4 linked regions of the Tamandua tetradactyla genome follow. The protein of the gene in region 1 binds, or shares a complex with, the protein of each later gene. Links are inferred from orthologs where the notes say so. Each region holds a gene or a part of one and is shown in the gene's direction. Other genes may lie near its edges.

Region 1 (6,928 bases):
TAATGAAATAAGTTTCCAGAGGAGATAATGTCTTGGGTAAGAGAACTAAATAGCACCTACTCAGTGGTACAAATTAGCCACCTGAGAAAAGAGGTTGTTCTGAAGTGGAATCCATGAGAACCTCCACAGTTGGCTCCTCCAGTGTAAGTTCCCTGGTCTGTGCACTGCTATTCTGGTCCCAAGATTCACAAATAAACAAAGGCAATGGTCTCCACCAAACATAAAGAAGTCCAACCACCAGTCAGGCAGCCTGTCAAAGAAAATTGCATCCCATAAAGAACCTTCCTTTTGTATAATGATCGACATTTGCAGCTAAATCCTTTCTCTAGGGATCTTTTGAATGTAAGTCACAGAGAGTGGTCAGTAGAAGCATAGACAGCAGAAGAAGCTGAGATTATAGATGAAAAAGCAGAGAGATGCTGATTCATGAGAATAGAAAAACTACTAAAGAAGGAGCAATAGATGCTTTTTATTGAAGGGGATGAATGGGACTTTGGGGTCACAAGAACTGAAGTTGACCCCTGAACTGAACAGAAGTTCCCTGACTGATGGTCTAGTTTTCTAAAATGTCCTTGTTTCCTTAAAACAATCCTTTGGCATCTGCAGCACTCTGAATATATCTCAGCCTTTTATATCCCAGAAGAGCCAAGCTAACCCAAGGTTATTTCTATTGTTTTGAAGTTTGTGTATGTACAGAAGGGGGTATCTATCACATGAAGGAAAGGGTCACCATGATCTCCATAAAACAGGATCAGAACGATATGCATATGTGCACGTGTGTATGTAGCTGCTTTTGCACAAGAGTATAACAGTAGAAACTTCAGTTACATCTTAGGGCAACCTGGAATTCCCATGTTTATACTTGTTTGTTATTCTCTTTCTCTTTTCCCACTGTGATAATAGTACAGGTCTGTGTGATTGTCCTTGGGGAGAGCAAAGAAAAGGAGAGCCAGGGAGACTATTCAACACAGTGGCCAGGCTTGGGGGAGAGGAACCCCGAAAGACAGCAGAAAGTACAGATATCAAGAGGAGATGAGAAGAATTTGAATATCTACATCAGAGTTTCTCAAAGGGCAGACTGCTAACCAACAGTCTAACATCCCCTCAATCGTTAAAGATTTCTGGCCCACCTTAAACTAACTGGATGGACTCTCTAGTGAGCCTAAGCGTTTGAGTTTCTAACCAGCATCTCAGATGATTCAAGAAGCACTGAAGTTAGAGAACCACTGCTCTAAGTTCTGTGTAAAGAAAGAAAGGGAGCAATGGTGGTGGTCGGGCTTTTGGCTCCTTAAAAAGCATGCAGGACTGAACGCTGAGGGAGCAAAACAGAAGAGGTGAAGTTGGAGTGTAGGGTGCATGAGGGAATAGTGGGGCACAGATTTGCTTTGGGAATCATGAGCCTAGAGATTCTAGATATAATGAGACCATGTGGACGGATTAGGTTTCTGCTAATGCCAGAATGTTTATAATTAGCGTAAAGTGCTATATAAAGCTATTTCCTCCCTCTAAACTATAGTCCTTTTAAGATTTATGGAACATCAACTATAGGGAGAACTCTATTAGCTACTGAGAGAGAATACAAAAGCTTACCATGTACTTGAAGTTGCACAAAATAAATGTTCTACAGTACCAAGCAACATATAAATAAGTGCAAATTCATTCACTTTATACAAATTAATTGTGTACATTGTGTACCAGGCACTTTTCTAGGCTCCTTAGCGTGTGGTTTATCAGAAAGGTGACCTGGATGAGTTTAAAGGTTGACTTTTGTAAGACGGAGATGACAGAAAGTGACTCTGTTCAAGTGGAGTCAGAGTTTAGAAGGAAGGCCTCATTCATTTTGCATTCTATAAATATTTACTGAGTGACTTATTTGTGTCAGAGACTGTCGTAGGCACTGGAAACATAGCAGTAAGTAAAACATAAAATCCCTGTGCTCACTGAACTTCACATTCTGATGGGAAAGAGACAAAGATAAATGTTATATGGTACATCAGAATGTGATGAGTGCTCTGGAGAACAGTAAAGCAGGTGGAGAGAAAGGATTTGAGGGTAGAGGGGGAAATTTCAATATCAAAGATGATCTTTAGGGAAGACTTCATTAAAAGAAGGCATTGAACAAAGATTTATAATAGGTGAAGGAGTAAGTTTTGTGGATATATAGTGGACAAATGTTCCAGATGGCGGGTTGCAAATGCAAATTCCCTGCAGAAGAAGCCTGCCTGAAGGGTTCAAGGAACAGCAAGGAAACAGTGTGTGTGTTCACAGGAGGAAGGAAGGGAAGAATAGTAGAGTGAGAGTTCAGAGAGGTAAGGAGTGGGGGGGTGGGGTTAAATCTCTCAGGCTTTTTAAGTCTTTGAAAGGACTTGAACTTTTGTGTTAAGTGCAAGGGGGCCAGTGGGGAGTTAGGAGCAGGAGTACATGATCTGACATAAAGATACGTCCCATTTTAGCTGTGTGAACTTGAGCTCAATATTTAACTTCTCCAAATTTGTTTCCTCACCTGTAAAATAGAGAAAAAATGTTCTACTCAATGAAATTGTTGCAATACTTTATTTATACATTTAGCAAATACTTGTTATAGATCAGGCACACTCTTTTCCCTTCCTGGCCTTCTGCTTCTTCTCTGTTGCCTCTTCTACCTGGTACCAGGGTGCTAGGCAAGGGAGACAGGAATAAGCCTTGCTGATTAACAGTCCATGTAAACGGTAGGAAGTAAAGGGTGACAGCTGGTGTAAGGCATTGTTTAACAGACATAATAGCTGGAACTTAAAAAAAAATTATTTTATTGGTATTGGATGATATGAACTAGGGGGAGAGATCTGGAACTCAGAGGAGTGATCATATTAAGTATAGGTGCTGGTTTGCCACGCCTGAATCTTCAAAATTCTCCAGAACAATTTATGTTTCTAGGTATCTAATCAGAGCAGACTAGGGATAGGTTTACATTTTTAATCGCTACCTTGTTTAATGTGGATAACTCATGAACTTAACTGATTAATCTTCAGTCTTCTAATTAATGTTTGAATGATTCTCTTTAGGCCTTAACTGTCAAGGGCACTTCTACTTAAGAACAGTTTGTGTTCTGCTTGGGCTTTCATGGCATTGGGTTACATTTGAGGTCCCGTTTTGGAGCGATCTTCTGATGGCCTCAAAAATGTCAAGAAAGACATTTTCTTCCCCCGCCCCCCCCCCCCCCCATTAAGATTAGTGACTAAAAGGTTTGTCACATGTCATGTTTGTTGAGCCTGGGACTAGATTCCCAGCCTCTGAGTGCTGATCTTCGCAATAATCATGAAGTGATCAGAAAGCCCCAGGATGGGTAATGAATGCTTAGTTTCTTCCTAAGTCACTGAAGCCACTTTTCACATTTGGTGACTCCCTTATTTACATGCAATAAATGATGGTAATTCAAGGTGCACGGTTGTTGGCCGATCCGAGGGATGACAGGATTTTTGTAGCCTCTCTGTGTAAGTGGTGCGTTGCGATCGCTCAGACGTCTCTGGCGTGCAGGTAACCACTGCAGTTCCGTCCGGGTCCGAACCTGCGGGTGCCTGGCTAGGAGGCGGGAAGGAGTGGGGTGCGGGTAGGCGCGCAGCCCCAGAAGCCCCACCTCCCAGCGAGGCACCACCCACGGCCACCTAGCCCCCCCACCCCCACCACAGGGCCGTTCTATCTTTTCCCCTTACACCCGTCCAGCCTCCGGCCTCCTCCACCGGCCTGGCCTCCCCCTCCTCGCCGCGGCGCTCGCCGACTCCCTCTCTTCCCTCTTCCCACACCACCCTCGGCCGCTCTCTCTCCGCAAGCTGGCCTGAAGAGGAATCGAGCGCGGAACACATCGATAGCTCTGCCCTCTGCGGCCGCCCGGCCCCGAACTCATTAGTGTGCTCGGCGCTCGATTTTCCTAGGCGGCGGCCGCGGCGGCTCAGGCAGCGGCGGCGGTGGCGGCGGCGGTGGCGGCTGCTCGGCCAGTACTCCGGGCCCCCGCCATTTCGGACTGGAAGCTAGCAGTGAGGCAGAGGCTCTGAAGGCGGCGGGCAGGGGCCAGAGGCTCGGCTGCTCCCAGGTGCGGGAGAGAGGTAAGGCGCGAACCACCCTCTCTGGGCCCCTACCCCAGTCCCGACCCTTTTCGCCGGCGCCGGGTGGGGCCGGCGGCTACTGAATGAATTAGGGGTCTCCGGAGAGGCGGGGAGGGGGCGCCAGCGCGGAGTCCCCGCGGGCGGGTGGGCGGGCGGAGGTCTGCAGGGGGAGGCGCGGGGACGCGGCGACGCGGGCAGTGAGGAATGGGCGGTGCGGGGCTGAGAAGGGTGAGGCTAGAGGCGGCCGCCGCTTCTGCTGCTTCCTGGACGGGGAACCCCTTCCTTCCTCCTCCCCGAGAGCCGCGGCTGGAGGCGGCCGGGGAGAAACTCGCGGGCCGGGTCAGCTGCCCGGTGGGGCGGTGGGGTGCTCTGGTGGTTACTACTGATGCGCTGCCGTCTCCCCTCCCCCTCGTCGTCCTTCCCTCTCCCGGCTCCCGCACCTCTTCCTCCCTTCCCAGCGCTCGACCGCCTCGGTTTCTGTCTTCTCTGCTGCATCTAGCATCTCTAGGACGAAGGTTTAAACTTCTCCCTCGAGCGTACGGTGGATGGATAGTGGTCCTTTCCAGTTTGTAGGGGATGTGTGGGTAAAGAGAGATCACGGTTTGGAAGAGCATAGAAAAGTGCTTTGAGACCACTGTCTGAGGTTATTGTGTTTGGAAAAAATGCATCTGCAGCCGAGTTCCTGACTGCTCCCCTCCCCCATGTATGGGCTGTGACATTGCTGTGGCTACAAAGGAGGAGGTGGAGGTAGAGATGGTGGTTGAAGAACAGGTGGCCAACACCCTACACGTAAAGAACGAACCTGTGATCTACAGTGAAAAGGAAAAAGTTAGTCCCAGGAGGTCTGTTTTGCTTCGTCAAGTTAAAACACACGCAGAAAACCCATAGAGCAGAAGCAGGGCTTTTCCCTTGATAGTTGAAGGGTGTACAAAGCAATAGCTAAAATAGTACTTGAAGTCTAATTTGTCTCTTTTCCTTTATCCCCCTCTCTTCTATTTACCCTCATCCATACAAATTTGTTGCCCGTCCCAAGAGTTATTATAATACTTCATTTAACAGCACTCATGATTCTTTTAACTGGCTTACAAGAGGAGTAATTGTAGTAATCAGCCAACTAACTGCCTGAAATACTCCTTGGTATGTGCATGTTATAGCTGAAGTCCTAAGCTAGCCTTTTAAGTCTGGTATTTCTAATTTTAGAAAGGTATTTCTAATTTTTATCCAGTATATATGTTAGGTTTGTAATGGAAAAAAAACTCACTTAAAAAGAAATTATAAAGGGAAAAGTCTATTCCTAATCACGTCAGAGTTTACCATTTATGACTGGTGCCACTCTTAGGTGACTAATGTCCAAAATGCTGACTTGAATTTAATAACTATAGAAATCAAATATGATTGATACCAGTATGGCCCTTTGAAGCTGTAAGCACCACAGGTGTACTTGGTTTTCAGAGAGCTGATAGATGGTAATTCCATTTTATGACAAGTAAAAGTGATAATTTTGTTTTTCAACAAAATTATTGGGTTCTGGTCCCAGTTCCACCCCTTTCTAGCTTTTGTAACTTTCGGTGAGGGGGTTCCCTTCTGGTCTATGATTTTCAATAAGAGTCTTTTGCAACCTAGTTCTCTCTAGTGGATTTAAATAAAACTTGGTTTTTAAAATCTGATAGGATTTTTCCCCCTGAAGTAACCACTGTATAAATAAGTAGATTGGAAGGTGTGTGTTTCTCCAAATCTGCACATGCATGTACAGCTGAGCTCTAATCCAATATCTATCCACCATATCATCTAGGTTAGCAGACTTTTTTGGTCTCAAGATAACTGCACACTCTTAAAAATTGTTGAGGGTCCCAAGAAGCTTGTGTGGGGTATATCTATCAATATCTACCATATTATAAATTAAAACTGAGAATTTAAATTTATTAATTTATTTTTAGAAATAAATAATAAAGTCATTACAGGGGGACATGGATAATTATATTCTTTATAAAAAATAGCTATTTTTCAAAACCAAAACAAAAATTGGTGAGAAGAATGCCATTGCTTTGCAGTTTTGCCAGTCTCTTTAATGTGTAGCTTAATAAAAGAGATTTGGATTCTCATCTCTGCTTCTGCATTCGGTCTACAGTGATCTCGTATCTGGGAGACTCTACTGAACACTTGTGTAAGAATGAGAGTAAACAGGGTAAATAACATCTTGGTATTATGATGACAATAGTGTTGGCTCCTCATTTCCCCCCCAAATCCTGAGGGCTTCCTCGACCACACTTTGAGAATTGCTGTTCTAGCTATCCAGACTGTTCTGGGAGTGGGTTGAGAGGATCCATTTGGTAGGATTCTATTCATCTGTTCCATTTGCTATGGCTTACACTTAGAATCAAAAGTAGGGGCAAACAGGATAAGTCATGTTTGTAGTGACTCTCAAGGTAGCACTAGACAAGCAACAGGTAAGGACAGATGGAGCAGAGAAGTGGGCCAGGAGCTGTAATACATCAGTTCTCTGATAACAGCAGTTTTCTTGTCTGTAGTGCTCTTTGTGAGAGGGCTCAGGAATAAGATGAAAAAGTAAATCATTTGACAAGCCAGATTATCTTTCTGTGTATATGTGTGCGCTTTTTAGCTAATTCTTGGTCTTCGGTTAAATTGGATGCTGCAGGTCTATAGTGTTTATCCACAGTATATACATGTTTGTTAATTTGGAACTACCTTATAATAAATTATTTGCATTTACTGGCATTCTTTCTACATTCATTCCTTATTTATAAATAGCACCATGTATTTATTGGGAGAAAGAAGATAAAATTAAATGTATTCATTTTACTTCTAAAGGTAAAATGAAATAGCTGATT
Region 2 (7,083 bases), on another chromosome or scaffold:
TGTAAATAAACTGCAGAGTTGGGATTTGAGTCAAGGCAGCCAGGTTCCAGGCACTTAACCCTCATTCTCCACTGCCCTAGTAGAACATGGAGGTCTGTACTCAGGTCTAGGCTCGAGCTGGAACCTTCCAGAGTCAATAGATATTCCGTCCAGCACCAAAGGATTGCAGGTCATGGGTCACCACTGTCTTCAACAGCAACCAAGAAAGGCTCAGCTCTTCAAGGGTAGCACGTGGAGACTGGTTCACGAGGTGTTGGAAGTACCCTCAGATCCCATTGTCTGAAAGCTTGAGTGGGCTGCATGTACAGAGCAGCCTTCAAGGGCTGCACCCATGTACTGCCCCTATTGTCCCAGCTGTGGAGCTAAGGGGATTTGCAGGGAGGACTGGGAAATGGTGTGCATCAGGAAAGAAGGTATTCTTTGAGGGGTGAGTAAACTGGAGCTCAGTTCTCCCTGTAATTCCATTTCTCTATTTTTTTTCCCCTCCTTTCTCTCCCATGTGTCCTCCCACTCGGAACCCCACCCCCATCTTCCCCAGTGGTGCTGACTGTCCTCACCCACACTCCCACTCCTCAGGTCCGACTGGGCCAGGATGTCATGCTGGACCTGAGCTTCGCATACATGCCCCCCACCCCTGAGGCTACATCCCCAACCCGGGGTCCCCCTCCCTTTGGGCTAGAGTGGCGACGCCAGCACCTGGGTAAGGGGCGACTGCTCCTTACTGCAACCCCTGGGCTAGATGGGCAGAATTCAGTGGCCCGAGAGGGGGCAGTGGCATTTGCTGCTTGGGATGACGATGAACCGTGGGGCCCATGGACCGGAAATGGGACCCTCCAGCTGCCTGCAGTACGACCCTTCCAGGAGGGCACCTACCTGGCCACCATTCACCTGCCATATCTGCAAGGACAGGTCACCTTGGAGCTTGCTGTGTACAGTGAGTAGGAGGGAGGCAAGTGTTCCCATGGTTGGGAGTGGGCACTGGTATTAAGGGACCACCGAGAGGAGGAGGATGGAGAAAAGAGTGCTTAGGTGAGAGGAGATGGATAGGGATCCCTGGGAGTCAGAGAGGTAATGGGAAGGGATGGGAGTCCCTAGGAATCTGGGGGGCTTTGGCATGGGTAATTATGTGAAGGATAATACATATTATTATATGGGGAGACAGTGGGCTCCCCATCCTGGGGGAGTAAACCCAAACCCTCTCAGGTTTGGGGAGGGTGAAGGCAAATTAAGGATCTCTGAGGGAGGATAGCGTGGGTTGATTACTCCGATGCCAGTTTTCTACTCTCTCCCCAGAACCCCCTAAAGTGTCCCTGACGCCAACACCTCTGGTATGGGCTGCTCCGGGGGAGGCACCCCCTGAATTGGTCTGCCTTGTGTCCCACTTCTACCCCTCCAATGGCCTGGAGTTGGAGTGGGAACTCCGCGGTGGCCCCGAGGGCGGTTCTCGGAAGGTCAAGGGCCAGAGGTGGCTCTCTGCCCTGCGCCACCACTCGGATGGCTCTGTCAGCCTCTCTGGGCACCTGCTGCCGCCCCCGGCCACTGTCGAGCAGCATGGGGCACGCTACGCCTGTCGCGTCCACCACCCCAGTCTGCCCGCCTTGGGGCGCAGCGCCGAGGTCACTTTGGAGGTGGCAGGTAAGAGTTGGGAGCGCTTGGGGGCGGGGGTCCGGGATAGCAGGGAGCTCACTCTCATCCCTTCCGCCTGCCAGGCCTCTCCGGGCCCTCCCTGGAGGACGGCGTGGGCCTCTTCTTGTCTGCCTTTCTCCTCCTCGGGCTTTTCAAGGTTTTGGGTTGGATCGGTGAGTAAGCCCCACCCCGACCGTGACCCCCGACTCGCGGACTCTCCCACCCACTACCATAAGCCTAACACTCATCTTTCTCCCCCCCCCATGCTCTTCCCCCCCTACCACTTTTCCATCCCACCCCTCAAACTCTCTCCACAGTTGCCTGTCGGTCCACTTCCACGGATTCAAAACAAAAGGTAACTACATCCCCACCTCTCCTTATCTTTCCCTTCTAATTTTATCCCCTCCCCTGAACCCATCATGGAGGGAGGCTACTAGTGTAGTGAGCAGAATGCAGACTTGAGATCCACACAGACCTAGGTTAAATTCTGCCACTAACATCTTGAACTATAGGACCCCTTTACTAAGTTACCTAACCTAGAGCTCAGCTCTCAGTTTCCTTGGATGTCTATAACATCAGGATAACAAAAATTACTTAGGGAGTGCTGTCCAATTAATCAATCTATTTGTTACATTGAAAAAATGTATAAGGAAACAGGTGAAATTAATTTTAAAAATGTCTAATGTCGTATATCCAAAACATTATTTCAATATGTAATCAATATAAGGAATCATAGTCTTTTTTTTTTCTGTACTAAATCTCCCAAAACAAGTGTTTATTTTATACTTTCAGCATATCTCCATTTGGATTGGCCACGTTTCAAATGCTTATTAGCCACATGAGGGTAGTGGTTTCTGGACAGTGCAGCCTCAGAGAGCTACTGGGCTGTTTAAGGAGAGGGTGCATATATAGCACTCAGCACAGTGTCTGGCAGACAGAAAACACACAATATGAGCTCCACCCTCTGTGCATCCATGATGATTCATGTTTTTCTGGACTAAGCCTTACCACCTCTCCTTGCCTTCAAACCCTGAATTCCTCACCTCCTTCTTTCTTCTATTTCCAGAAAGCACAGTGAGGGTACCCTCCCCACCACTACCTTGCTGAAGTTACCATCCTCTCTGACCTAGGCTGCTGAAGAAGACATCTGTTCCTACCCCCTCCAATTCTTTCTCCACTGAGCAGCTGGAGTGCTTTTTTAAAAGATACAAATCTTATGATGGTCATTTTCTTAGAGCTCTAGGGCAGTGGTTCTCAAACTTTTTAGCATTTGGACCTCTTCAAAATTATCAGTGACCCTAAAGAGCATTTGCTTATGTGGGTTATTAACTATTGATATTTACCATACCAGGAATTAAAACAGAACTTAAAACACAATAACATAAGTGAAAGCAATGATGTGAATGCACATCATACGGCCTCTGGAAAACTCCACTGTACACTTAGAGGAGTGAAAAAGGCAAATAACAAAATAAATATTATGAAGATAGTCTTAACCTCGCATAACTCCTCAAATAGTCTCTGGGATGCCCAGACAATTTGAGAATCGCTGCTCTAGGGGCTGAATCCAGCCTTCCTGCCCAAGCCCATGCCTCCCGGGAGCATTTGGGAACCTGCCTACCTCTCCAACACCACTAGGTGCTCTCCATACCCACTCTCAGTGCTCATCATACCCACGGCCATTCCTTTCCTCTAAAGAGCCAAATGTCTTCCGCCCATGTCCGGGTCCCAGGACGTTGTTCCTCCTGCCAGGCCCATCCTTGCCCTTCTTGGGCCCCCAAACCAGGTCGCTGGCATTACCCAGGCAGCCTAGTGACCCTCTTGTACGTTTCACCATGGTTGTATTTAAGTGATTGTGAGAGCTGTTGTTAAATGCGTGTATCCCCTCCCGAACTGTCGGTTCCTCGAATTCAGCCTATCTGTCCACTGCTCTTTCCCCGCACCAGCACGGGGTCTGGCGCTCATGGGAAAATGCTTATCAAATAGCTGCAGGATACTGCAGGACGGATGGTGCGATTCGGCGTAGGGACCTTAGGGGGAGCAGGTCGCCCGCGGGAGAAATGGCTCAAACCCTGCAGGAATAAAGTTGTGTTTCCGTGCTTCTAACGAGGTTTCTCAAGTTCCTCCTCGCGGCCCCCCTTTCCAAGTACAATGACCCTTCCAGTCACCCTTGCCCTAACCACCCTGACCTCTTAAAGGCCTGGGAACTATCCAATCCCATTCTCCTCGAGAAAATTTGAGGTCCGACGCCACTAACGACGAATAGGGGGCCTTCAAGAAGCGGGGTGTCCCGGGTAACCAAAAAGCTGCGGAGATCCCGGCCACAAGCAGCGGAAACCCTGGAGCCGGAAGTGGCGGCTTCCTGCCCCGCCCCTTTACGAGGGGGCGGGAACCGAGGACTACTCAAAAATCCCGGACAGGATTTTGGTCCGCTGCATGCGTGGGTGGGTGTGGAAAGTGTAACCCCGCTGGCGCGGAATAACCGGGTCTCCGCCTAAAACGCTTCCTGCGGGGGTCTTAGCCTTGTTGTTGTTGTTGGTGGTGGTGTTGGTGGCGAGGCAAATTCGGTTCCTGCCTTCCCCGGGGACTGGAGACTGGAATCTATCCCAATTCATTGCGGGACGACGTGGGCTCCAGGATCCTGGAGTGGGGGGCCGGAGGACCACGGTGGAAGCCAGGGCTCCTGGGTCCCGGACCCTGGGAGTCGGCGCTCCCCTAGTCCGCGGCCCTGGCTCCTGTCTTCACTTCCTTCCCCTTTTGGCTCCCGCCTGCTCTAGGAGCGAGCGGACACGGGGCGGGGGGGGTGGGGTGGGGTGGGGAGATAGGACGGAAAGGGCGGGAGGCCCTGGAGCCCAGCAGGGGAATCCGAGGGGGTACGGAAAAGCCGGGGAGGGGACTTGGTCCGGGGCTGGAGACCGACTGGAACAGCGGCCCAGGACCTGTGCTGCCCCCGCCCCTCCCGAGCAGGTTAGAGCCTGAGCACCCTGTGACCCTCCCTGTCCGTCCGGGTACTCGTGACCCCCCCTCATCCCCAAAATGCACCAGGAATCCCCATATTCCTCCCCTGTGTTGCCTTCTTCCCCCAGCCTCCCCTCCAAGACTCCCCTCCGGTTACCTAGATGCTCACTCGCGGTCCTACCCTGCCCGGCCCCCTCGTGACCTCCTGACCCTCACACCCCACCCCTGTCTCTTCCCCAGGCGCCCCATGGCCCGATCCCGCTGATTCCTTCGCTCGGCCATGCTCCCGCGGCCCCTGCGGCTGCTCTTGGACGCGAGTCCCCCCGAGGGAGTCGTGCTCAGCAGCTTCCGGAGCCGGGACCCCGAAGAGGGTGGGGGCTCGGGTGGCCCGGGCGTGGGCGGGGGGCAGGAGGAAGAGGAGGAGGAGGAGGAAGAAGAAGAGGTGAGATGTGGGTGGTGGGAGGTAGAGGGCGGTATATATTTCGAAGTCCTTCTCCACCTTTCGGTGTCTTTGTGCCCCTGCATCTCTTTCTCCCTGCTTTAATTTATTTCCGCGCCTCTCGCTGGGTGTCTGCCCGTCTCCCTTACGCAGGGAGTCCCGGCGCCTCTGTGGTTCTGTGTATCAGTGTGACTCAGACCTGCGCGCAGGAAGCTGTACTGTCCCCGCCTGGAGCGACTGGCTGGCTGTACCTGCGGGCCTCTGGCTATGTCTGAGTGCGGCTGCTTATCCCGGCAGCTTTGTCTTGGTCCCTGTCTCCCTCCTCCTTTTTTGTTTGGTGGGGAGGGGTTTGTTTCCACAGTAACCAGCTCCACTGACTCTGGGATTGGGGAGGGAACCCTACCCGCAGATTTCGTGACCCCGCCCCCCACCCCCCTCCCCGGAGCAGGAGTTAGGTAAAAGGGCCTGGGAGTCAAAGTTCTGGAGCGACTGATCCTAGGCTGGGTAGGAGGTGGTCACTGGCTTTCCTTAGGGACTAATGGTGGTGACCAGGAGCAGGATTTGGGGCCTCAGGAGGGTCAAGGAGTTGGATATGGGGCCGGAGGCCCAGGACTCCTGAGTTCAGAGGCTCGGTGAGGGCCGGGTGACTGGCTGGGCTGGTTTTTCGGGATTGAGGGGGGGGGGGGAGGGGAGGGACTGGGGCCACGTGACTCCTTGAGCGCACGCGCCCCCCCCATCCTCACTTCCCCTTCTCTTTCCTGTACTGAGATCCTAGCTGCCAACTAGAGTTGGGGGTCCCCAGGGCGAGAAAGAGAGCGGAGGCCCCACCTGAGAGACCTGGGGAAAAGGGGACCTGGAGGAAAGACTGACTGAGCTTGGCTGCTCCCTCACAAGGGGAGGGTGGGGCATGTGGTGGTGCCTGTGATTGAGGTTTCAGCTTCTTTAGGTCTCTGCCTCTCTGCCTCTTTCGCTTTCCCTCAGCCTGCACTTGGTATCCTGCTTCTCTGCTGTGTTTTGGGTTTAGCGCTGGGGGGAAGGGGCTCTGGTGGTCTCCAGGATCAGGGTTCCTGCACTCCGAGCACCCCTCCTCTCCAACTCCCTCGATTCCACCGGGCCCTGAGGCGGTTGGGGGGGGGCTGTCTGGGCCCCAGTGGGGGAGACCTGGGGTCACCAGCCCCCCCCACCCCTCGCACACGCTGGTACTATCCCCTGCCTTCGCAGGTGAGGGATACTGAGGGAAGGGGTAGGGCCTGGGAGTGGTGTGTGAAGGCTGGGGGTGGTGTGGGACTGTCTGATCTCCCCTTCCTTGGTCCTCCAGGTCCCTGTATCTGTCTGGGAGGAAGAGGAGGATGGTGCCACCTTTACTGTCACAAGTCGCCAATACCAGCCTCTTGAACCCCTGGTGAGATCATGACTTTGGCTTCTTACCTCTGACCCATCACCTCTCAGTTCCTCTTCCTCTGGCCAGAATGCTAGCCTGATGTTTTGGAGATCTGGACTCTGCTGTGTGACTTTAGGCCTAGTCTTTTGCCCTCTCTGAATCTCAGTAAAATGTACCTGGATCATCTCCTAGGCCTGAGATAATTTCCAGGGACCTAAGGGAAGGGTGAGGACTGGCCCTCTGTATCCCCCAGGCCCCCACACCACCCCCCCGTTCTTCCCGACGACTCCGAGCTGGCACTCTGGAGGCCCTGGTGAGACACCTGCTGGATTCTCGGACATCAGGGACTGACATGACCTTCACTTCAGCCTTCCTGGCCACCCACCGGGCCTTTACTTCCACTCCTGCCCTGTTGGGACTTGTTGTTGACAGGTCAGGGGTCATAATGGGCCAGGGGAATGGGAGGTTCTGGAACTCTTAAAGCCAAAGCATCCCACCAAAATATCCAAAGCCACAGGGAGTTGAGGGAAAATGGACAGATAGATTATCTTCCCTTTCCCAGGTTGGAAGCCCTTGAAGCTCATCCAAGTGATGAACTAGAGAGGACAACAGGGTGAGTGACTTCTGACCCTTAACCTCAGTCTCCTCTACCCAACCTGTAGCTTGACCTCTGACCCCT
Region 3 (6,939 bases), on another chromosome or scaffold:
GGGCTTACCCGATCTGTGGTGGATGCAGTGGCGGCCGAGGGATTCCCTGGTCGCTGGATATGTGGAGGAAAGAGGAGAGAGGAGGCCGGGTCGCCCCTGGCCAGGCGGGCAGCACCCGCACTCTTCTCCCGGGTTTTGGGTACCAAAATGTAAGGTTAAGGAGGCGAAAAGAGAGAAGAGACGGACCAAGAAACTTTAAAGTGAGCGAGTTTATTCTGCGCTCCCGGGCAGAGCTCACAGAGCGTAAGGTAGGGAGTTGTGAGTTTGCCGCTGGGTCCTGGTGCGGGCGGGTTTTAAGCAAGGGGGTTAGGTGACGTCTAGAAGGGGCGGCACATTTTACACAGCTCCAGTCTTGGTGACCCCTGTTCCCCCGACCTAACAACCGTGTATGGTGGGAGAGGGTTAGGTGGGGCTGTGGCGCGTGGGGTTGGAGAAAAATGGGTCTGAGCAGTCCGGGCAGATGGAACGGTGTATGAAAAAGACAGAAGCAGAAAAGAGATGGATGTGTAGGAGCCAACAGGTTGCTCATTTCCAGTGGGAGATACAGTTGGAAAGACAAGTGTTGGCCCGAGCGTTCAAGGCCATGAATTCCAGGCTAAGGACTCTGGACTGTTGAAGAGCCAGTGGAGGCTCTTGAACAGGAGAGTAACGGGTTCTGAAGGATGCTTCAGGAAGAAGAGTGCGGTCACTGCACGGGAGGGAACCGCGCAGCGCGGTCCAGGCCAGCCGCGTGCGGTAAAGCGCCGAGTGCGCCCTTCCGCCTGCAGGGGGCGAGCTGTGGAGCCAAACGCTTTCCCCGCCCCCTTCCTCAGTGTCCCGGTTCCGACTTGCACGCTCGAAGTTCGGCTAAACCTCCTGGACGCGCCCTCTTCGGGCCTCGGCTAGTCCGCCTGGATTCACTCCCGGGCGTCCCGTCCGCTTTGGCGCGGGGCTCTTGGGTCTGAAGAGGGGCGTGAGCCGCAGCCTCGGCGCCTGCGCCGTGGCGCCGCAGTTGGCTGGTGAGGCTGACGGTAGGGGGCTTCCGCGCCACGGCGGTGCTGACTGGTCTCACGTCCGTAGGTGTTTTGTTTTGTCCCAAGAAAACGAGAAATAGGCGAACAGTGCGGAGGAGCTGGAGTGCTCCCTGACTTTAACGGCGCCGAGCCTGGCCCCACTGCCCCCTTGTCTTTCAGCTGAGAAGCAATGGGTGTCTTCACCGCAAATTTCCTCCAGCTATTTGCTCTCAGCCTGCGGCCTAAATATCCATACTAGTGAAAACCTGCCCCGGTCTCTGAGCTTGTCCAGTCCAGGCTGAAATCCGTAGTTTTGGAGCTGGTTTCCCTCTGCGATAAAATCAGAGACTCGGAGTTGGGGAGCCAGTGGGTGAGAGGCATTTTCCGAGATTTTCAAGTCCAACCTCTTAGCCCTTCTCGATATACCGCGTGAGTGAATGTGTAGTTGTAAACCTCCGACGACTCCCCGTTTATGTAGTCTTCTTCTTGGAAGTTTCCTCCATACAACTTTCACCCTTTCAAAAATATTTATTGAGCACCTACTATGTGCCAGGCACCGTAGATCTTGGGAGTGCAATGCCTACTATACACACACGATTGCTGATCCGCTTGGTGTTTACATTTCAGGGGGAGGGGAGAGAAGTGACAATAACCAAAAAATAGGCTGTGATAATAGGGCTAGCAAGGAAATAAATAGGGTTTATTGTAGAAAAAAATAAGCAGGAACTATTTAGAGTGATCAGAGGAGGTGTCTTCGGATGTGAGGTTTAAAACTAGCCAAGTGCACAGCTAGGAGCAATGAGTTCCAAGCTGAGGAGAGAGCAAAGCCCTAGAGGCAGGGAAGAGGTTCGTGTTTTCTCGGAGTGGATGAAAGGCCGGTGTGACTGAGTGGGATAGTCAAGGTTGAGAAAGTAAGCAGGAGCCAGATGCACGACTTTGTGGGCCATAGTACCTTGGAGATGTAATCTCAGAGCAACGGGAAGCCCAAGGAAGAGTTCATGGCAGAAGAGTGAGCTTAGATCAGTCGTTTAGAACCATACAAACCAATTAGTTTTTCATATCATAGTCCTTTAGGTATTTGAAGATGGCTGACATGGTATCCTCTGAGACCCCTGCTTGTGCCTCCAATTCCTCTCCAAGCTAAGGTTTCTTTACTCCTTATTCAGAGGGTTTATGGACAGATTTCAAAATGTTATTTTGGCCCCTTTGAAAGTGTGGGAACATTTTAAACATGTAAATCATGTGTGACCACTTTAAAAGGAAAGGACCAAGACTTATTTCAGATCCACGAAGAGGTCCTTTAAAGATTAAGAGCCACTGCTTAAGCATTTTTCATCAATGTGATCCTGGCAATTCTCAGAGATAGAGTAAATGTCACCTTCAACCCGACTCCTTCTCTAAATGAGATCTCATCTGTGAAACGAGAACAGTAGGGTTGCTATGAGGATTAAATAGGATAGTGCTCAAAATGTGTTTAATGATAAATCATGAGACGGTTACAGAGTGCCACTGTTATAAACAAATATTTGCATGCTAGGATGGGGAGGCAATTTAGAGATCATGCTCCTTTAGCATTCCACAAACATCTACCACGAGGCTATTCTGTGTAGAGCTCCTGGTGAAAAAGATCTGCTCTTCCAGGAGTTTATTATCTAGTCTAAAGAGTAAAGATACAAAATACTATAGACTAAATGTCCTGAGAGGAGCATGAGTAAAGTGCTCCCGGAGCTGCAGAACAGGTCTGTTTCCACTGAAGGTGAGAGATTATTGGAGAAGTGCATATTTGAAATGGGTTTGAAAGATGAAATGACTGAATCTGAAAACACATAACAGAAACTCAATACTACGTGTCCACATTTTGTCCTGTAGGTATGTGGAAAGACCGACTGGAAACACTGCAATCATTTCTACCACCCCACGAACATTGAACACTTTGTTCTCGTGAGAAGGGATCCTATCTTTTGTCCAGTCTGTTTACTATATCGTACATGTTCTGGGCAGTCCTTATCTTCACGGTCGGGGACAAAGTACACATACGCTAAAACCTCGGAACGAAACGAAAGGCCCAGATCTCTCCAACACCCAATGGGGGCCGCTTCACCGTAGGTCGCCGCCGCCCCCTGGCTCCCCACCGCCGCAGGGCCGCAGTCCGCCCGGGGTCGGACTTCTTGGGGACCCAATCTGCCTGGGGTCGGAATTCTTGGGGCCTCTCCGCCCCTCCCCGGCAGCCCCCTGGGCTGCAGCGGCAGCACAGCCCGGAGCCCTCCCTCCTCCGCACTTCCCTCGGCCTTCACTGGAGAGGCCGAAAACCCGGAGCGAATCGACCCAGCCCGGCGGCGCATGCTCAGTGGTGAGCAGGTTCAGTTCGCAAGTAGGAAGCTCGAGGAGCGTTACACCGGTGTCGGCGGCGGCGGCGGCGGCACCACCTCACTGCGGCCGGATTCCCCAACAGCGATCCAAGGCCCTTCCCCTCCCCCGCTAGACCCCGGCCCCAGCTCCGCCCCGCCCGGGGCCTTGCGCGTTTCGGGGTCCCAGCTGCTCGCAGTGGGAGCCTCGGCCTGAGCGTCCTTCCACACACCCTCCCCCTCGCCGCCGGCTCCGCCGCTGGGCCAGGCCGGGCCCAGGAGCGCCGCCCCGGCGGGCAAGCGTCGGTCGCTGCGGAGGGCAGCCCGGGGCGGCGCCGGCGGGCTGGGGAGGGGTGGGGGGGCTCGGCCCTGGGGCGGTGGTGCGGCATGCCGCCGCCTCCGGGCTGCCTTCACTCTCCTCGGCTAGTGCCAGTGTCGGGTAGGTGGCCGCGCGCGGGCCTCGGCCCCCAGCCGGGCCGTCAGGGCTAGCCGGGCCGCGCGGCGCCCCGAGGGGGCCGGGCTGTCCCGCGGGGTCGCGGCCTTGCTCGGCGCGGCGAGCTCGCCCTCTCCCTCCGCGGTCTGGTCGCCGCCGCCGCCGCCGCCCCCCTCCCAGCCCAGAGGCGCCCGGGGGGCACCATGCAGGCGCAGCAGCTGCCGTACGAGTTTTTCAGCGAGGAGAACGCGCCCAAGTGGCGGGGTCTGCTGGTGCCTGCGCTGAAAAAGGTGAGGAGCGCGCGGGACCCCGCTTCCCAGCTGCATCCCCGGTGAGGTTGCCCGGCCGGGGCAGGGCTGGGGAGGCGGGGCGCGCTGGGCTGGCTTTCTTCCCGTTCTCACCGCCTCTCGGAAAGGACAGTGCGCACTGAGAGGGCCCCCCACACTCGGCTAGTCCTCGCCGTTGACGTTCGGCCGGTGTGTGGGAAGGCCGCAGGGCGCCACGGAGATTTCGTAGGAATCCTCCGACCGCTGAGAGATTAATGCCCTGCGCCTCGATTCGAAGGCTACAGTTGGAGGAGCCTCAGTTTTCCGTGGAGGTCAAAGCAGGCCAGTTTTCCTCCGTCTCCCCCTCACCCGGTAGCTGCTGTCAGCCTTCTGTTTTACTGGGCTCGAGAAGTGCTCTGGCCCTGATGCTTACTCTGATGGCACAGCTCGCCTGCCAGCAGGAGTGGGGACACGGCCTGCTCCGCTCGCCTTCAGTCTTCACTCCCCATTCTCCTGAATCCCCCACCCCTCGGGTCAACCCGGGCGCCTGCAAAGGCCACTCTTCAGATTTTTGTGGTCGTTGATTGTTCGAGAATCTTGGTACTAGTTTTTGGTTTGTCGATTGCAAGTGTTAACCTTTTATGTGCTTTTTCTTTTTTCTTTTCAAGTGTGCCACACTTATCTAAAGTTATCTAAAGTTATATCCTACGATCTGTTCTTTTAAATGTTTTCGTATACTCTGGTTTCTCTTCAGATCGTTTAAGTATTCTAGTATAATTAGGAAATGTTGCTAATTTTAAAAGTTTCCTTAAGCAATGTTGTCACTTTAAAAACACATATTCTATTAAAACCTCAGAAATTGGTGTATTTGAATGGATTTAAAAGCAACCAGAGTACTTTTTGTTTCCTTCATTTACCTTTTTATAAGTATAGAGATTATTTTCCTCTTTTAATAGTATTTCAAAACCCTAATTTTTTTTTTGCCCAAAGAATGTTTTGTGTTATCTGTTAAAAAAATATATATGTACATATTTGCTCCCACTGAGAATTAAGATTACAATGTTCCTTTTGTACTAAACATTTGTGCTTTTTAAAAAATGCATCTTAAAAGATGTCTGCTATTTCTCAAAGGCTAGAAACTTTTACTTTCCCTTTTGTCCTGTTCTTAACTGCCTTCCACCCTCCATCTCTAACTGTAGAAAAATATGCTCATATAGTTCAGATTTAAGTTGCCGCCCTTTTTTTTCAAGTTTGATTAGTCATAAATATTTCTGTGATTCTGTTTTCTAAGAAGACCAAGGAGTTGATTTACAGAATATATCTTTTATTCATTAGAAATACCATCAGGTTTTCACTTTATTTACGTTTGCTTTACCTGAAAGCTTGGCCTGATAGCTTACAACAGAAAAGGGAGTAGGAAAGGCTAGAAGATATTCTGACTGGGAGGTAGACAGAAAAACTGTTCAAAACATACAAAAAAAAAAAAAAACCTTAGAGAACATTAGCAATTTGGGGCTGTTTTGCTTTAGAAGGACACAACTCCTACTCCAAGGGAACCAAAGGGTCATATGGCAGGATAGAAAAAGCAGTGTAGAAATTGGCAGACCTGGTCTAACTGCTGTGCTGGTGGGCCTTGCTGAATTCTGTCTACAAGAACATTTCGTTTGGCTGTTATTATTTGTATGCTGTGTGGTGGGGGTCACATTTCATTCTTTTCCATGTGACTGTCCTGTCATTGCAGCACCAGTTGCTGAATGTTTTGTTTTGTTTTTCCAGGGTTCATGGGCTGGGAATCAAACCCTGGTCTTCTGCATGGTAGGCAGGAATTCTATCTCTGAAATACCAATTAGCTGTTATTTTCAAATGTAATTAGTTGCCAGTATTTAAAAATGGGAGCATATAAAATCTAAATTTTGAAACTTTCTTGACGAGCAGAAAGATCTCTCAGTGTTGGGTCTACATTCATGCAAGGAAGTATATGACTGGAAATTAGTAAATGGCTGCCCCCTTTAAATAGAACATTTATCTCCAATTACCACAGTCCCCACCAGTTCATCTGGCGTATTTACATAAACCAGTGTTTGACTTTTAGCAAAGATACGTAATAACAGTAGAAATGTTGGTGAACAGGTGTAAGTGTATACAATCTAGCTGATATGTAAGGTTCTTGGAATTTCTCATTCAGACACCAACTAACAATGATTCTAAGCCACTTAAGAAAAGATTGAAAGTATATTTCATATTTGGATGTGTTTTTCGGAACCCAAAACCTGCATTTTCACTTGCCTCCTGGATATTTCATTTGGATATTTTCACATCTTGAATTCATCCTTCTGACCTAACACAAGATGTGCCCAACTTGTGTTCTCTTACCTGAGACTGTTTGGACATGCTGTTCCCTTCACCTGAACTGCCCCTCTTTGCCTGGCCTAACATTGCTCCTCCTTCTGGACTCACGTTCAACTTGAGAGTTCTTAGGACTGAGTTGGATGTCCCTCCTCTTTTTTTTTCTTTTTTCTTTTAGCACCCTGCCCTAGCAGTTAACAGTGAATTTTAAGTTCCTATTTATTTCTGTCCCCCCAACTAGATAGGTTGCTCCTTTAAAACAGAAGCATCCTTTTATCCCCCATGTAAATATTGCCTGGCACTGTTTGGCACTCAGATTATTTGAATGAATGGGCAAAAGGATATTGTGTACTTGTACTTCTTTCATATCCTTTAAATGTAGTACTTTCCAAACTAAAGTCATCACCTCTTTCCCTTCCACTTACTCCCCCCACCCCCCCACCTTTTTTAGCATGGAATTGGTGGTGGTCACTGATGTAGCTTCATCCTGGTTTTCTGACTAGGTTGCCTACTATAACCTTTCATGTTCTTTATGCTTTAGCTAGGTAGGACTGACT
Region 4 (6,894 bases), on another chromosome or scaffold:
TAGATAATTATTATGCATTTACTTAAGTTATAACTGCTTTTTACTTAAGGAGATTCTTGAGTCTCCTAGTATATGTAAACAGCCACTGGCAGCGGAGATCAATGCTTTGGGCTTAATTTTAAATATAAATAAATAATAAATTAGTCAGTAGACAGGTTCTTAATAACTAGTGAAAGACCATTGCTGGAAATGTAAATTGTACAACTTTTCTGAAGGGCAAATTGGTAATACCATATGTATCAGACCCCTAAAAAAATGTACACTATTTGACCCTGTAATTCATTTCTAGGAGTTGATCCAAAGGAAACAATTCAGGAATTTATTAAAAAAATATTCAATCCAGTACTGATATAATAGGAAAAAAATGTTCAACGATCTAAATGTAGAACTAATGGTTAGTTAATACATAAACTGAAGCCTATTTATACACTGCCATTTAAAATGTTAAAGAAATAAACATCATGGGGGAAAGATGTCTATGTACACTACTATACAATTGAAAGAGTAGGTTATAAAATTCCATTTTTATTTTTAAAAAACTAATAGAAAAAAATTTATACGCATATAGCCATATACCCCCCAAGTTATTGCTGGGTGGTGGGAATATGGACGATTATCTTTTTCTCTCTATAGAACTCTGGATTTTCTATGATAAATATTTAATACTAGTATAATTAACAAAATATATTTAAAAAGCAAGCAAATAGAATGTTCATTTCTGTAAAAGCTTAATTTTTCAAGCCCTTGCTCAAATTTAACCTGTGTGGCCCCCTCTAAAAACACACAGGAATGATTTGTCATTTGAATTCTTTGAACTTATTATACCTACCATGCATTATCATAACTATATTAAAGAGTAATTTTTCAAATCTAAATAGTAAGCTCTTCTAAGTCAAAGACAGTGAATAGCTAAAATAGTTTGCTGGTTTTGTGAAACTTCAGGGGATTTGGGGACAAATGATAAGATCCCAGTAGAGATCACTGGGCTGTCAGTGACTCACCTTCACCGCCTGACTCTTGGTGTTGATGGGGGGATTTTTCAGAGCTGCTTGTAGAGCAGCTGTCATATTTCCTGTGATGGAGGTTAAGGAGATAAAAGCAAAGGATAGCCCCTAGGAAAGCACTATAACTACTGATAACCATTGGTTTTTATAACTTGACTTTTACATAAAAAGGAAAAGTTACTATAGTCACTATGTTCACTATTGGAAAATTCAATGTGCCAGTTTCAAAGATGGCCTTCAAAGGTAAACTACTGAAAACAGAACATTACATTATTTTTTTGTAAAGACTTTTCACCTTTGGTTCTAAATAGCAAATGAATACCTTGATAACCTTTCATATTCCCGTGGGAAACATATGCACGCAATATCCAGAGTGGTATTAAACCCTAAAATACATATCAGAATTATTAGGTCCCCTAGCAATCAAAATGTCTTTTTTATGTGATTATGACTAGGAAAAAAAATTAAACTTTTACCAAAACTTTATTCTATAATAGTTGAAATTCTGGTAGAAAATCCTGGTAGATTACCCTGGCATCTCAACAATATTATTAGCATTTCTCAATATTGATGACAGGAGACATCACAGAAAGTGTAATAACACAAACGACCCTTAGGTGGCAGCTTAATTTTTCTGTTTTGGATATATTCTTTCAGATCATTCAAACTGTTTTAGCCCATACCTATTACATTTAGCCTCTTTGAAAGCACCACTGGGTTAGCTACTATGAGAAACGGAAGGCCAATCAGACTATTAGAATGTACAGTCATTCCCCTAAAAGGAAAACCACTAAGTTCACTTATTTCCTCCATCTCTAGTGCTGGGCTCCCTCAGAGAAGGCAGGCTTATCTCCCCTGGTTCATAACAAAGGCTGAAGAGATATCTTTATATTTTAAGATAAATTGATTAAAAATCAGATCCACTGAGAGGACTACAGCACTATTATTTAAGCGTCATACAAATAATCTAAAATAGGCTAAATTAGTCTTACAAAACTTGATTTATCCATCCTAAAGAATGTCAAAAAGAATAATATTTTCCACTTATCTTCCGGAGAAAAAAGTCTGTCCAAAAAACTCAAAGGTTGGTGATAAACTGTTATTTTCAAACTTCTAGCGAAGCATGCCTCTTGTAGATTGGTTCATTTTTTAAGATGCAAAACATATCACAAATATCGAAATAATGCAAAATCGTAACTGATTGTGAAAGTTGAAGAAATCAAGGGAACATATGTACGTTGATAAAGCCAAATATAGTTGTACCAAATATTTCCCCCATTATAATTTAATAGAACATGCATGAGGAAAGAGTATGAAAAGCCTTCCTTCTTTTATGGACAGGAATAATTAGAAAAGCATGAAGTTCAGCCCCCCAAAATCTGAAAAACTGCAGCTTGTATGGCAACATCTACATTTTTCTAAAAAGATATGATGCAAATGCGAATAACTAAATATGATTACTCAAAATACGCAAAACCAAAACCCAGGCACTGACAGTCACATTTTAACTAAAACGGAAACAATTTTAGGGATTCCAAAAATGTTTCTGCTTTATACAAACGACTCCTCTTCAATTTTACTCACGGGAATTTATTTTAAATATATCCACGGGTTCTCTTTAGGTCTTCCCCGTTTTCTACCAACCTTTTCTCGAGCAGGTAAAGCACTCCAAGCTTCCTTTCTTGGGAATTTTGTTTTGTACTCACTCCCCTCCCCTCAGTTAAATGCCCCCCCCTCAGTTAAATTTTGTGCAAGCTGTATTTTGCCAAATCCTTTTTTTCTTAAAAGAAAAAAAAAGGAAAAAAAAAAAGGCAGCAGTAGGTCGTGGGCTGAAAAGACCTAGGATCTCATTCTGCGAACCGCGGTATCCCTCCTGGCAAGGAAGAAACTATTTCAACGCAAGAAAAAAACAAAAACAAACAAAGCCACTAAAGAAACATGCCCTTTCCCCGATCCGAAATTTCTGGAGCGACAGCGAGTCTAGTAAAGACCGTTCTAGGGAGAGCACAGAGAAAACACAGCCCTACCGACAGGCACCTAATTCCTTCCCCAGCGCAGCGAGGGCGAGGCTGGCGAAGCCTGTTCCCCAGAGGCAGGAACTCCCGGAGCAACCTGAGGAGTCCGGGCGCGTGGAAGGCGCGTTCGGAAGGGCAGGTTCCCCAGCCTGGGACCCTGAGGTCTCGAGGCGGCTCTGTTAGAATCGGAGGGAACCTCTCACTCCTCAGAATGGGGCCCCCAAACAGGAAGGTTCCACCCGCGCGCCGCAGGGGCAGCTCCGCGTCCGTCCCGGGAGGGGTCCCTGGCCCTCCGACCCCGCGGGGTGGCGGGGTCCGGAGAGAAGAGCCGGGTGGGGAGCGCGGGGGACGCAAGGATATTGCCGCAGGCAGGAGTCCACCTCGCCTTCGTCCGGCCCGGCCTGGCCGTCGCCTCCGTCTTCCTCGTCCACGAACTTGTTCTCGTCGTACTCATCCACGTCCACCTTCCGGAACCGGGCTGACGACACCGTATTCTTCGACATCCCTGATGCGGACCGACGGCAAAGGCCTCCTCTTGGTGGGGACCGCTCCTCAACAACCCCAACCCAGCAGAATCCGCAGCCTGCGCCTTCACTTCCCTCTTCCGCTCTGGGGCGTCGCCGGCAGCCGCGGCTCAGGCGGTTCTGGGCCTGCGCGGTGGCCCCGCTCCTTCCTCCTTAGGTTCACGCTCTTCTCCAGCCTCCTACGCCCCGGGCGCTGTCCCCAGGAGAGCGCGGCAGGGAGGGAGTGCGCAGTGCGCATGCGCAGACTCTCCGCAGGAAAGGGGCGGGGCTGGCTGAAGGAGGCGGGGGCGGGAGGGGGCGGAGTAGGAGGCAAAGCGAAAAGCGGTACCGCTGCCAAAGGTAACAGGCAATTGGTTGTCCGAAAGCGTCACGTAATCCCGAGGGGGTTCCCATAGAAACGCTTCTCTGCGGTCCAGTCTGGGGGGTCCGAGGTTGAAGGCTATGGGCGCAAGGAGCCGGCGGCCTTGGCTTTTGCTGCTCTCCCGGCTGAGCTGTCATTGGAGTTCTGCGTAAAGTCCGGCTGATCTGGCCTTACCCATGGGGTGAGATGGACTGGTTGCCGGACCGAGTTCCCTGCAGTTGGCAGGAGGATGGGGAGGAGTGGTGTACGCCCGGATGCCCAGCGTCGTTCTAGTTGTCGGAGACATCGCTTCGGACACCGCGCTTCAGGGGACGGTCTTCCCAAGCTAGGTCCCCTCCCCGGGTTTAGAACTACATCGTGCGGCCAACGAGAGGTCCCCAAGGACGGAGTCGAAAGGTCGTATTTTATTTCTCAGTGCTGTGTGACAACATCATGACAGGACCTGCAGAAGCTGAACTCGGTATCGTGTCCATTGGGAAGGAGGGGAAGGTGGCTGGGAGGGGCGGGGGTTGGGTGGTAAAACCGGAGAACCTGTAGAATTTGGTCAGTCATTATTCACATCTTAAAATAGGTGGTGGTTTGGAGCAAGAATGCTAGAGGAGGGTGGGGGCAAGTTAGGCTCTCTGGTGCTGAGGGGAAACAGAATGTGTTAGGATTCGTAGAAATGAGACCCTTAATATTTATATTTATGATATTTATATTGTTATAATATTTATATTATGATTTATATGGTGCTACTAGGCCAGCTTTTTATTATATTTGGCATCCCCATTTCCGAGACTAGAGCTGTTATTGAGGTAAAGCCACTATAAAAAAGGTAGCTGTGCTGTATGTATTACAGTGAAGTACAAATTAATTAAAAGTTCAAATATATGCAGAATAAAATTAATTTGAACATTTAGCTGGACACAGCTCAGGTGGCTTCATATTTTCCTGCCATTCTATCAGATCCAGTTTAGGTCCTCCGTTAGCAGAAGGCTGACTGTTGCCCCTGTTGAATAACTCAATACCTGGTTTTCTGTGGTGTATTGAAAAGAGCACTGGGCTTAGAATCATAAAAACCCAGACTTGAGTCTTGGCTACAATTTATAATCTGCTTGAGGCATGCAATTTAAAATTTTTAATCTCAGGTTCCTCATGCCTAAAATAGGAATAATGGTGTGTATTTCATAAGATTCTTATGAAGATTAAATGCACAAAAGTGTTTTGAAGCGCTAAAATTCTGCATTAATGTAAAATGTATGTTACCTGTACCATTGATTTGGGGACTAGCTTTATAAATTGCTAAATGATATATTATGTTTTAACTTGCCCCCAAAAGAGATTGCAAAATTCTGAAGGACAGACCATATAGATAGATAGATAGATAGATAGATAGATAGATAGATAGATAGATAGATAAATATATATATATTTACCTTTCTTTACATCTGTCATAAAGTTAAGCTTGCAGAAGGTACTCAATAAATGCTTGGTGGAGAAATGAAGTGTGAAAGGCAGTTAGGTTGAAAACATACTGAGAATAATGAATCACTAAGAAAAGGAAGAGAGACCTCAAACCTTTGAGAGAGAAAGAGAGAGAGAGAGAGAGAGAGAGAGAGAGAGAGAGAGAGGAAGAAAGAGAGAGAGAGACATCTCAGGAATTGAATGCATCTTTTTTCCTTGGGAGAGGAAAACAATGTGGTATTTTTCATTTCTCGATTAAATTACCCTTCTAGAAGATATGTCATTTAGGTGACAGAAAGTGGCATTTCTTTAAATTAACATTCAAGTTTTAAACAAATATACTGATACAAACTCCCCTAGGACTGTAAAACAGCAAAGACAAATTTTCTACCTGTTAGTAATATTTATTTTAAAATATCGGATACCAAAATACAAAATTATTGCTTATGGTGAATGGCGTTATATAACTTAGAATAAAGGTTTGTTTTAATATTTGTTCTCAGTTTAAATCTTCTGCTAATTTTAGTAAGAGCTAGACAACATACTTATTTAGATTCTAAAGATGATTGTACTTTTTGTTCTTATAATTCAGGATTTTCTTTGAAGAGAAAATTGAGCATTAAAAGCACTATTGAGAGTAAGTGGCAACAAGGATTCAAGAGTTAATAATCCCTTCTCTTACATTTCTAGTCTTTTGTATTAAGTCTTGTTTAGGAAATCTTTCTATTCTCTTATTTTAGAACTGAGAAAGACTTACTGGGTAAAAATCAACTTAAAGGGAACAGTGAGGAGAATTTTTAAAAATCGAGGTTGCTCAAGGGTATAATGGTTTTTATTGCTCAGAATTTTGCACTGTATGTTGAATGTGTTAAATGTAATTAATTCTTAGCCTCAAAATACATACTACATTTCAGATGTCAAAAAGGTTCTTTTTCCACTGCAGTATTTTTTACTGTCTCACAATGAACTAAGTGCCTAGGTACATAGTTGGTGCTCAATAAGTTTCTATCAAATGAGTTAATGATGTGACAAGTTTTGGAACAAATATAATTTTGGAATTATATTTAAAAACTGAGTGTTTTTGAATAGACATTAATACCCACGTTAGCTAATAGTTAAATCTTTATAAATCTTAGGGAGATGTTTTGTGAAGAGACTCATCCTTAGTTATCTTTTTTTCTTTTAATTAGGAAATACACATTGTACACATTATCCCACTTCCTTGCAAATTTCCAAATGTTTAATGTTAACTATGATATTTAATTCATTGTAAATAATATTAGTCTCCCTATTTTACATTTCAAGATGAGTACTTGACCCTGAACTAAAGAATCCATAAGGTTTTGAGACATTTGATTTTTTATGTAAATAACCTGGTTTGGACTACTACTAAAGCGAGACAGAATGTGAATTTTCTAAAAGTTAATGCTGCATGATAGTATATAGCTCCTTCTAATTTTCTATGATGATGCAAAGTCAAGGGTCTTATTAGTTAGAAGAAACTTTAATAGCATGATCCTATAATAGGTCTTCTCAGATAGTTT

What was found.
Region 2: the proteins of KRAS (region 1) and RGL2 are in contact, whole or in part, in a crystal structure (PDB 8B69), measured with the Homo sapiens proteins. The link is inferred for Tamandua tetradactyla from reciprocal best matches to the Homo sapiens genes KRAS and RGL2. Residues at the interface, in NP_001356715.1 of Homo sapiens: Ile24, Gln25, His27, Val29, Glu31, Asp33, Pro34, Thr35, Ile36, Glu37, Asp38, Ser39, Tyr40, Arg41, Lys42, Tyr64; in NP_004752.1 of Homo sapiens: Ile651, Arg653, Glu660, Asp661, Gly662, Ser663, Val664, Tyr665, Lys666, Ser667, Ile668, Leu669, Lys685, Lys686, Asn688, Arg689.
Region 3: the proteins of KRAS (region 1) and SOS1 are in contact, whole or in part, in a crystal structure (PDB 8BE4), measured with the Homo sapiens proteins. The link is inferred for Tamandua tetradactyla from reciprocal best matches to the Homo sapiens genes KRAS and SOS1. Residues at the interface, in NP_001356715.1 of Homo sapiens: Ser17, Ala18, Ile21, Gln25, Asp30, Glu31, Tyr32, Pro34, Thr35, Glu37, Tyr40, Asp54, Ile55, Leu56, Asp57, Thr58, Ala59, Gly60, Gln61, Glu63, Tyr64, Ser65, Ala66, Met67, Arg68, Asp69, Gln70, Tyr71, Arg73, His95; in NP_005624.2 of Homo sapiens: Lys602, Trp809, Thr810, Lys814, Leu822, Met824, Ile825, Arg826, Thr828, Thr829, Thr832, Leu833, Leu872, Val875, Ser876, Asn879, Ser880, Ser881, Pro882, Tyr884, Ser908, Asp910, His911, Tyr912, Lys913, Phe929, Phe930, Gly931, Ile932, Leu934.
Region 4: the proteins of KRAS (region 1) and RGL1 are in contact, whole or in part, in a crystal structure (PDB 7SCX), measured with the Homo sapiens proteins. The link is inferred for Tamandua tetradactyla from reciprocal best matches to the Homo sapiens genes KRAS and RGL1. Residues at the interface, in NP_001356715.1 of Homo sapiens: Ile24, Gln25, Glu31, Asp33, Pro34, Thr35, Ile36, Glu37, Asp38, Ser39, Tyr40, Arg41, Leu56, Tyr64, Met67; in NP_001284600.1 of Homo sapiens: Ile651, Arg653, Asn660, Gly661, Asn662, Met663, Tyr664, Lys665, Ser666, Ile667, Met668, Lys685, Asn687.

Annotation. Positions count from the first base shown.
Region 1 is NC_135333.1:88,116,108-88,123,035, reverse strand, and holds the start of KRAS (GTPase KRas), read left to right. Parts: upstream 1-3,905; 5' UTR 3,906-4,079; intron 4,080-6,928. UniProt on the Homo sapiens protein: Ras proteins bind GDP/GTP and possess intrinsic GTPase activity. Plays an important role in the regulation of cell proliferation.
Region 2 is NC_135331.1:89,235,705-89,242,787, reverse strand, and holds the start of RGL2 (ral guanine nucleotide dissociation stimulator-like 2), read left to right. Parts: upstream 1-4,076; 5' UTR 4,077-4,593; intron 4,594-4,824; 5' UTR 4,825-4,864; coding exon 4,865-5,026; intron 5,027-5,444; exon of another isoform or gene 5,445-5,478; intron 5,479-5,533; exon of another isoform or gene 5,534-5,655; intron 5,656-5,722; exon of another isoform or gene 5,723-5,969; intron 5,970-6,341; coding exon 6,342-6,425; intron 6,426-6,657; coding exon 6,658-6,836; intron 6,837-6,966; coding exon 6,967-7,017; intron 7,018-7,083. Other genes in the region: TAPBP (tapasin), read left to right, coding at 539-934, 1,294-1,635, 1,710-1,799, 1,944-1,981, 2,693-2,704. UniProt on the Homo sapiens protein: Probable guanine nucleotide exchange factor. Putative effector of Ras and/or Rap. Associates with the GTP-bound form of Rap 1A and H-Ras in vitro.
Region 3 is NC_135343.1:10,348,691-10,355,629, reverse strand, and holds the start of SOS1 (son of sevenless homolog 1), read left to right. Parts: upstream 1-3,930; 5' UTR 3,931-3,973; coding exon 3,974-4,060; intron 4,061-6,939.
Region 4 is NC_135330.1:38,563,999-38,570,892, forward strand, and holds the start of RGL1 (ral guanine nucleotide dissociation stimulator-like 1), read left to right. Parts: upstream 1-3,873; 5' UTR 3,874-4,364; intron 4,365-6,894. Other genes in the region: ARPC5 (actin-related protein 2/3 complex subunit 5), read right to left, coding at 1,002-1,083, 3,380-3,522. UniProt on the Homo sapiens protein: Probable guanine nucleotide exchange factor.